Linked DNA regions of Macaca fascicularis. The main gene of each other region encodes a partner of the protein of the gene in region 2 in a complex. Links are inferred from orthologs where the notes say so. Each region holds a gene or a part of one and is shown on either strand. Other genes may lie near its edges. The genes, in order: ZMAT2, MFAP1 and PRPF38A.

What was found.
Region 1: MFAP1 (region 2) and ZMAT2 share a complex: the UniProt entries of both Homo sapiens proteins name them as parts of the spliceosome B complex. The link is inferred for Macaca fascicularis from reciprocal best matches to the Homo sapiens genes MFAP1 and ZMAT2.
Region 3: the proteins of MFAP1 (region 2) and PRPF38A are in contact, whole or in part, in a crystal structure (PDB 5F5S), measured with the Homo sapiens proteins. The link is inferred for Macaca fascicularis from reciprocal best matches to the Homo sapiens genes MFAP1 and PRPF38A. Residues at the interface, in NP_005917.2 of Homo sapiens: Glu275, Tyr276, Trp279, Arg282, Glu283, Arg286, Arg289, Asp290, Arg294, Leu297, Glu298, Lys301; in NP_116253.2 of Homo sapiens: Tyr124, Asn125, Tyr127, Lys129, His143, Asp145, Glu146, Asp149, His153, Tyr169, Val170, Glu172.

The regions. Positions count from the first base shown.
Region 1 is NC_088380.1:147,179,415-147,181,844, reverse strand, and holds part of ZMAT2 (zinc finger matrin-type protein 2), read right to left. Parts: intron 1,947-2,430; coding exon 1,873-1,946; intron 1,415-1,872; coding exon 1,269-1,414; intron 1-1,268. UniProt on the Homo sapiens protein: Involved in pre-mRNA splicing as a component of the spliceosome.
Region 2 is NC_088381.1:20,398,011-20,401,665, forward strand, and holds part of MFAP1 (microfibrillar-associated protein 1), read right to left. Parts: intron 3,136-3,655; coding exon 3,006-3,135; intron 2,747-3,005; coding exon 2,559-2,746; intron 1,417-2,558; coding exon 1,308-1,416; intron 887-1,307; coding exon 726-886; intron 1-725. UniProt on the Homo sapiens protein: Involved in pre-mRNA splicing as a component of the spliceosome.
Region 3 is NC_088375.1:182,312,935-182,316,589, forward strand, and holds part of PRPF38A (pre-mRNA-splicing factor 38A), read right to left. Parts: intron 3,062-3,655; coding exon 2,951-3,061; intron 1,702-2,950; coding exon 1,589-1,701; intron 1,355-1,588; exon of another isoform or gene 1,233-1,354; intron 968-1,232; coding exon 941-967; intron 827-940; coding exon 729-826; intron 256-728; coding exon 207-255; intron 1-206. UniProt on the Homo sapiens protein: Involved in pre-mRNA splicing as a component of the spliceosome.

The DNA.
Region 1 (2,430 bases), on a different chromosome or scaffold from region 2:
CAGTACATGCCAGAAATTGCTCTGAGTACTTCATGCATATTATACTAAGATCTCTAATATGGGGATACTGAGGCACAAAGAGGTTATATAACTTGCCCAAGATTCACAGCCAGTAAGTGGAAGAAACAGAATTCTGACCCAGTCAGCCTGATTTCATGGGCCTCCTTAGGACTAGGTACATTTAGTTAATTCCTCTTGTAGTTAAAAAAAAAAAGTATGGAGGAAGCTATGCATGTTGTGGGGGACAGTGGGTATATGGGAAATCTTTATACCTCCCTCTCGATTTTGTTGCAAACCCAAACTGCTCTAAAGAAAGTTAAGTCTTTTTTTTTTTTTTTTTTTTTTTTTTTTTGAGACGGAGTCTCGCTCTGTAGCCCAGGCTAGAGTGCAGTGGCCAGATCTCAGCTCACTGCAAGCTCCACCTCCCGGGTTCACGCCATTCTCCGGCCTCAGCCTCCCGAGTAGCTGGGACCACAGGCGCCCGCCACCTCGCCCGGCTAGTTTTTTTTTTTTGTATTTCTTAGTAGAGACGGGGTTTCACCGTGTTAGCCAGGATGGTCTCGATCTCCTGACCTCGTGATCCACCCGTCTCGGCCTCCCAAAGTGCTGGGATTACAGGCTTGAGCCACCGCACCCGGCCAAAAAAAAAGTTAAGTCTTTTTAAAAAATTAAATCAAAGAATACAGATGAGAGTCCTCAACTTACGATGCTCTGACAAGATTTTTCAGTTTTACAATGGTGCAAAACTGACATGCATTTGAAACTGTACTTCAAGTATCCATATAACCATTGTTTTTCACATTCAGTACAGTATTCAATAAATTAATGAGATGAATACTTTATTATAGAATAGGTTTTGTGTTAGATAATCTGGGTCAATTGTAGGCTAATGTGTTCTGAGCACATTAAGGTAGGCTAGACTAAACTATGGTAGGTTAGGTGTATTACACATTTTTGACTTAAGATATTTTTAACTTGATGATGGGTTTATCGGTAGGTAACCCTGTCAGAAGTTGAGAAATATCTGTATCGCCAAAATAAATAAATAATAAGGCCCACAGAGTCCAGGACAAAAAAGTCGTTTCAGAGCCATTTCCTTCAGATCATGAGAATCCTAAACAAAGGCAACAAATGTTTCCGCTAATATACAGAACTCAGGAGATACAACTCTGGGGCTGGGAGTAGGAGTGGGATGAGGACAGGGTCTCCCATGATTCATAACATAAAACTCAAATCTGGGGCAGAGGGGAAGACTAGGAGAGGCTTACCTCTTCTCTGAGCTCCTTCATCCTTTCCTCAAAATCATAATCCTTCTGTTTCTCTTCCATCTTCTTCTTGTTGACCTCAAAACGTTTCTTCACCTGATCCAGGGTGGAACGTTCCACACGCATAGACATGCCCAGGTTTCTCTGATCTGGATGGGGTCAACAGTGAAGAAGGCAAGCTCATTAAAACATCCTCAGCCCCTCAAAAAGTATTTTCCTGACTTCTCTGACATCTTCTCATATGACATCTCATAAAACACACAGCACAAATAATTACGGTTAAAAGAAACTCCCTTGGTCAGCTGGGCCCAGGAGCAGCACATGGTTTGGGTGCTGTTAAAAGTCTCATGGCCTCCAGAATAAGGCCTCTTACCCATTGCCTCCAGAAATATTACATAATGAAGTAAAAGATGGCCTGTGCTGAAACAACTGGAGAGTTCTAATAGGGGCATCAAAAAAGAGCCCAATAGAAACTACCTTTCTTACTCCAGCCTTCTTTTGATCAGTAAAAAGAAGAGGAAGAAAAAAAAAAAAACCTACCCTTCCATTCCACCCCACCTCCAAAACCCAATTCCAGCCCTAGTCACAAGCTACCTCCAAGCCTTACGTTTCTTTCCATTAATGTGATCCAGAAAGTTGATGGAGTCCTTCACCACACAGTCACAGACATTGCAGTAATATCTAACAGGAAGAAACAGCACTTGAGTCAAATATGGTTTTAAGGATCTTATCATTTTCAACCAAGAAACACAAATTTTTAGGTAAACTTCTTTTTAGAAGTGTTAAGCCTTCATTTCTATAAAGCCTTGGCTCTCGAGAGAGTATAGCAGTCATCCTCAAAGACAGCCTCAGGATGAGCCCCACCCTCTTGGTATTCCTACTCTGTGTAGTCTCTTCCCAATTTGTACTAGAGTTGGTCTGTGTGGCCAACAGAATATGTCAAAAGTAATATCTTCCAAAATTAGGTTATTTTAAAAACCATGCCTTCTGTCTTTGTTTGGGTTACTTGCTCCGGGGAAGCCAGTTGCTCTATTGTGAGCAGTCTTATAGAAAGGTCTATGGGGCAAAGAACTTAGGCTTCCAAACAACAGGCATGTGAGAGAGCTTGGAAGCAGATCCTCCAGCCCCACTTAAGATTCAAATGAATGCAGACCTACCTTGCCAA
Region 2 (3,655 bases):
CCTCACAGTATGCATGCCCCTTTTCAAAAAGTATGACTTTGCTGCTTCTCCTATCCAGAGGTGGAGTCTGTTTCTCCACCTGCTTAAAGCTAGGTCGGCCTTGTGACTTGCTTTGACCAATATGTGGCAGGATTGATGTATGAGTTCTGGAACCTAAGTGTCAGAAGACCTTGCCCTCTTAGAATGGTACCGAGACTACTATGTAAGGAAGGCAGTCTAACCCAATGAAGGATAAGTGAGGCATCCTAACTGATAGCCACCACCTACTACTAGACATGTGAGTGAAGCCCTTTTAAGTTTCTAGCCCAGTCAACTGTCTAGCTGGATACAACATAAGTGAGCCCACGTGAAATCAGTAGAGGAACTGTTCAGCCAACCTCCAAAATTGTGAAAAGTAATTGTTTTTTCAAGTCACTCAATTGTGGGTTGGGTTGTACACAGTAAGAGATAACTGCTAACAGTTACTAATTTTTGTGTCTACTAGGAAACTAAAGGGAGCACTGGCTGGCACTCTATTATGGACACACATCGACAAAGTGTGTTTCTCTTCCCTGATTTCACTGTAACAAGTGAAACTCACATTCCAATTATAGGAAACTCACCCAGCAGCAAGAACTCTGAAGATGGCCAGAATGGAACTCACAGTAGGTAATGAGTCTCAGAGCTATCCTACTAGAAACCTGTTCCACTAGCAGCATTAACTCTAGGCTCATCTTTTTACTCACGCTTCTCGATCTTCTCTGTCCCTCTTGATTCTTTTTAGCTCCCGAACTTTCCATGCCTCATATTCCTCCTCGTCATTTTCATCATCAGTATTGAGTGCATCCAGTGCAGCCAAGGATCGCTTGTTCTCTTCCAGCTCTTTCTTGGTTTCCTCTTCGACAATCTGGATAGGGAGAACAATTCGGCTTGGACTTCCTTACTCTCCTCAGACAAACCTGATTACACTATTTTCTTGTACTCAATCCTTGGAACCACTCCCCAGTACCTTTTTTTTTTTTTTTTTTTGAGACGGAGTCTCGCTGTGTCTCCCAGGCTGGAGTGCAGTGGCGTGATCTCGGCTCACTGCAAGCTCCGCCTCCCGGGTTCATGCCATTCTCCCGCCTCAGCCTCCCGAGTAGCTGAGACTACAGGCGCCCGCCACCACGCCCGACTAGTTTTTTTTTTTGTATTTTTAGTAGAGACGGGGTTTCACCGTGTTAGCCAGGATAGTCTCGATCTCCTGACCTCGTGATCCACCCGCCTCAGCCTCCCAAAGTGCTGGGATTACAGGCTTGAGCCACCGCGCCCGGCCAACTCCCCAGTACCTTGAGTGTGTACTTGCGCCTCTCCTCTGCCAGGCGTTTTGCTTCCTGCTCCAGCTCCTTCTGTTTCAATGCTTCAGCTTCACGTTCTTGAACTGTCACTCGGTCCTTCCTGCATCACAGAGGTCCTGTTAATTGCCTAAAGTCCTTAGAGTGGAGTGCTTTGTTCCCCTAGACCTAGTCCCATCCAAATGAGACGAAACCAAACTCTTTGGCTCTATTATTTTCAAAGAGCAAAAAACGTTGAGTCATCCCAGGTCTTTTTTTTTTTTTTTTTGAGATGGAGTCTCACTCTGTCTCCTGTGCAGTGGTGTGATCTCAGCTCACTGCAACCTCTGCCTCCTGGGTTCAAGCAATTCTTTGCCTCAGCCTCCCGAGTAGCTGGGATTACAGGCGCCTGCCACCACACCTGGTTAATTTCTTTGTATTTTTAGTAGAGATGGGGTTTCACCATCTTGGCCAGGCTGGTCTTGAACTCCTGACCTCGTGATCCACCTGCCTCAGCCTCCCAAAGTGCTGGAATTACAGGCATGAGCCACTGTGCCCAGCCATCATCCCAGGTCTTTGGAGCACTAAAATCATGTTCATCTTTGAGAACTGCCTGGACAGCAAAGAACCTGCTGGCCTGTAAGTAGGAGGATTTCTAGCCATCAAGAAAGGAATAGGAATCTGCTTGCTGAGTTTAATTTTGTGTTTAAAAATATATGGCCTTGGCTGGGCGCGGGGGCTCATGCCTGTAATCCCAGCACTTTGGGAGGCTGAGGAGGGCGGATCACCTGAGGTCGGGAGTTCGAGACCAGCCTGACCAACATGGTGAAACCCCCTCTATACTAAAAATACAAAATTAGCCAGACGTTGTGGTGCATGCCTGTAATCCCAGCTACTAGGGAGGCTGAGGCAGGTGAATCGCTTGAAATCGGGAGTTGGAGGTTGTGGTGAGCAGACATGACGCCATTGCACTCCAGCCTGGGCAACAAGAGCAACACTCCGTCTCAGAAAGAAAGAAAGAAAAAAAAAAGGCCTTGGACAGATATATGCTCTATAACTGAAAAAAAGAGATGTGAAAACAAACTCAGGTTCTCTGCTAACACCAAGATACTCCTCAGCAGCTCGTCTGGCAAGGCTACAGCACTAGCAAAAGCACTTTCACTCAGTGCTTAGATTTCAGAATAGCACAACAGAAAACAGACTTTTGTTTCCACGCCTGGAAAGTGGTAATTAAGTGGATTCAGATCTGGCTCGTGAGATACTTACTTTCGAATGAAGACTGGCTTAAGGCGAGGCTCCATCTCATCTTCACTGTCTGTGTACTCTTCATACTCAGACTCTGATTCTGACTCCTCTCCAGAACGTCCCTCATCTTCCACTTCCATGACTTCCATCTCTTCATTTTTTCTCTCCTGTGCTCGCTGACGCATCATGCCACGCCGCCGTTCTATTTCCTGTGAAGTCATATATGTAAGCCGGTCAGTCAAATGGCCTATGGCTTTTTGTTTTAGTCTCATCAAACCCAACAAATTCAAATGTAAAAAAATACAACTTAGTACCATTCTATTTTTAGTTCTATCCCAACAAACAAGGAACATGATCAGAGTCCTGCCAAAAGCAGTGATCTCATGTTTTTAAGGCTTCAACAAATGAGCACAGGCGTCAACTTTTTCTTATATCCAGAAAAAAACTTCCCATGTTCCTTTATCATACCTCATCATCAATCTCCTCTTCCTCTTCTTCACTGCTATCTTCTCGTTCCATGCGCCAAGCATCTCCTTCTACTTCTGAGTCACTCTCTCCTACCACTTCAGGTTCCACTATTTTCCGATGTCGAGCCAATCTGATAAACAGTATCTCCAAATGTAACACCAATGTCATAAAAATGAACTAGCATCAACCGCATTTCCACAGCCACACAGTACATTATGTTTGCCTTCATTAATACTGAAGTCTTTTTTTTTGAGGCAGGGTCTTGCTCTGTCACCCAGGCTGCAGTGCAGTGGTGCGATCTTGGCTCACTGCAACCTCTGCCTCCCAGGCTCAAGTGATCCTCCCACCTCAGCCTCCTGAGTAGCTGGGACTATAGGCATGCCAGCACACATGACTAATTTTTGTATTTTTTGTAGAGACGGGGTTTTACCATGTTGCCCAGGCTGGTCTTCAACTCCTGGACTTAGGCAATCTGCCCGCCTTAGCCTCTCAAAGTGCTGGGATTACAGATGTGAGCCACCATGTCCATCCAATATTAAAGTATTGAGGTGGGGGAAACTGAGGTGCAGATTAAAGGAACTAGACTAGGATGTCAGAGCAAATAGCCAAGTTTGGCCTGAAATACTAAACGTATGTTGAGGCATCCTAAG
Region 3 (3,655 bases), on a different chromosome or scaffold from region 2:
GGGAGACAAGCACGAAACTCAGTTTTCACAAAAAAGAAAAAGAAAAAAGAAAAAGTTATCTAACCCCAGTAATTCTCAAAGCACTAGACCAATTTTGTAACGAAGGAGAATTCCTAACATCCCCCAACAAAACCAGAAAATTTCAGGTCCAATTAGTTGTAATTGGGACTTTCTGAATAAAGTTAAAATAGAGGTCAATTCATTACCTTTCGGGAGACTTTGAGTGGCTCCTGTGTCTGTGACTACGGTGATGACCTGGGGAAGAAAAGGCCATTGTATGAGATCCTACCCTTCTCTTATTAAACTGTCACTCTCACCTCCCCTAATACCTGCCATTGGCTTAATATTTTTTTGGCCTATGCAGGGGACACTGTCCTCTTAGTGGAAGCAACTCTGAATTAGTGGAGGAGGAGGGAGCAAAGAAAGGAGTAATGAAACCAGTTCAAACACATATACATTCAAGGGCTTTATGGCTAATTTCACAAACATCATATTGGGTTTTCACTATTATATTAGATCTTATAATTTCAGATGAAAAAACTGAAGCCAACCTTATCAGCAAAGCTTATAAGTGCAGTCAAGCTGTGAACCTTAATTTTCAAGTTCTATGTCCATTTCCTTTTCTGTTACGCAGTACAGTCAGGCACTCCTGTACTGCAGGAGGCTTAACTGCTCCTTTTACATTTCTTTGTTAAGACAACCTGTGGCAAAAGGCCCACATGCTCTACCTGGGGACTTGGAACGGGATCTGTGCCGCCGATCTCGGGACCTGCTGCGGTGACGTCTTGGACTCTTGCTCCGATGCCTTTCTCGGCGGGGGGAGGGGCTATAGAAAAGACTGGTTAGACTGCCAGATCTGGTTAGCAATATACATACAACTCCAATACCACCACTCCCTCCCCAAAGCTCTATCCTTCATCACAAACAACTGAAGGCCTACCTTCTCCTTTTGGGAGATCGACTCCGCCTATAATAAAGAGAGGAAGAAGAAAGCCTAGGTTGGTGCACTGGATATTGTAGATTGCAAAAACACCCCCAGTCTTATCCTTCACCCTTCTCTGTATCACCCTTCTCTGTATCCATGTCTTTTGTCATGTAACTCTAACACCCTCCCATTCTAACTTTAGGACTGGCCACGTGACTTGCTTTGGCTAATGGGATATTTGCAAATATGATAAAAGCAGATACTGGAAAAACATTTGCATGACTGGGTTTGTTTGCTCTTGAGTTCTGCCACTACCATGAGAATGCCCAACTTAGCCTGCTGGAGGATGACACAGAGAAGAGAAATTTCCCCTGTCATCCAAGCTAAGGCAATTCCATACCAGCCAGTAGACAGCAGACAACAGAACAGGTACTTAAAAAACTGCCTATCCAAGCTCTGCTTAAATCACTGACTGCAGACTTGTGAACGAAACAAATGGTTATTGTTTTCTGCCAATGAGGTTTTACAGGTGTCTGTTTTGCAGCAACAGAATATATTGGGCAAACATTCTCCATAGGCTGGCATTTTTCCTTCTCTAAAATCCAAACTTCTAGGCTACAGTGCTCAAAATCTCCTGGGAAAAGGCCAATGACTAGGGTTTACCTTCTGGGAGACCGGCTTCTACTCCTTCTGTAGCGCAGTGTGGGAGAGCGACGGGGCTTGTCCAAGTCTCGGTAGCTTCTCCGGCGGTGATCAGGTGATGGCACTCTTTCCAACTGGAAACAAGATGACTGGGTCACTAAAAAGCACAGGCTTATAAAGAGCCATCTAGGAACACTAATTATACTTCACACCCCATCTTGTCCCAAAGTCCATCTCCAAGTGACTTTAAAGCACAGTAACCTGACTACAAAGAAGGAGGCACTTACCCTATTAACTAACAAAACCTATTATGGGCTATGTAAGACAGCCAGAATAACTCACAGAAGAGAGAGGGAACAGAAACAGACCGGTGTGTGTGTATGTGTGTGTGTTTAGTTTATCTGCAGCCTGGGCAACATGGTGAAATCCCATCTCTACAAAACAAATACACAAATTAGCCAGGTGTGCTGTCACGCGTCTGTAGTTCCAGCTACTTGGGAGGCTGAGGTGGGAGGACTGCTTGAGCCTGGGAGGCCGAGGATGCAGTGAGCCAAGATTGTGCCACTGCACTTCAGCCTGGGCAACAGAGCAAGACCCTATCTCCAAAAAAAAAAAAGTTTGACTGCTTCCTGAAACAACTGGGCAGGCTTGGTTGTTTTCAACTTTTCAGCACTGTAACTAGTATTGAAAGAACATGCCTATGCGGTTGACATTTTCCCCCTCCTAAACAAGGCTTATTCCTTAGGATAGGTGCAATTATGAAAAGTTTTATTTCTTTCCAAGTATTTAACAGCTGCCACCATTTATTAGGCAATTATAATGTGCCAATACTCTGCTAAGGGCTTTAAGTTTATAATCTTATTTAATACTTTCAACAGACGTGGGGAAAAACGTATCATTAACCTCACTTTACATAGGAGAAAACTAAATTTAAGTAATTTGCGTAAGATTATACCACTAGTATATGGCAGAGCTGAGGTGCTTTTAATAAGGGAATATTGTTCTTGATTACAGTTAAAAAAATTTTTTTTTTGAGATGGAGTCTCACTTTTGCCCAGGCTGGAGCGCAGTGGTACGATCTTGGCTCACTGCAACCCCCGCTTCTCAGCCTCCTGGGTAGCTGGGATTACAGGCACCTGCCACCACACCAGCTAATTTCTGTATTTTTAGTAGAGATGAGGTTTCACCACCATGTTGGCCAGGCTGGTCTTGAACTCCTGACCTCTGGTGATCCACCCGCCTTGGCCTCCCAAAGTGCTAGGATTACAGGCGTGAGCGACCACGCCTGGCCAACAGAATTAAAAATTAAAGTACAAAAACAAAAAAAATTCCCATTTTCTATTACTCCCTCCCCTACAACCCTGAAAGTCTCAGGTGCCTGACCTTCTCATCCTCCTCTTCTTCCTCTTCACTGGACTCCACATCATCCATGTCCTCTTCCAGAGCGCTAACTCGAGGCTCCAGTTGCTCAGCTTCCTCTAATACATAGCGTTTCTACAGAGAACATAATGAGAGTTAGGGGTTGTTGTCATTTCCCCTATTTCTTGAAACCTCAACACTGGGCTTCAGGATTCCAAGGAGCAACAGCTGAGACAATTTCATTTCAAAGACAGTTCAAGCTTTTCATAAGTTTAACAGACCTGGAATCTATAAACTAAAGTTCTCCTATAAACATAAATACAAACCTGAAGAGAACATCTTCATTTTCTATTGGCTGTATTCCCTGTATCTTACACTCTAAAGTCATGGGAGTATCAATCAGTATAGGTATAGCCTAGAACCAAAAGTAAGGGCTTCGTACACAGAGAAAATCCAAGGGCTAATAAGTTCATGGCTGATAGTTCCACCAGAAGAGGCCTAGCCCTAGAGTAGCACCAAATCTCCAGCACACCCAGGATCTCGGGAGCTGTTGAGATTCATGCATTTTGAACTGGCTCCATTTTAATCTGGGATATGGCTTACCAATGTTTATTTGAGTGGCTAAAGATCAGAGAGGCAAAGCTGATTTTAAAAATGCCAAATGGCTAAATGTAGTGGCATGTCCCTGTGGTCCCAGCTCCTTGGGAGACTGAGGTGGGAAGATCCCTT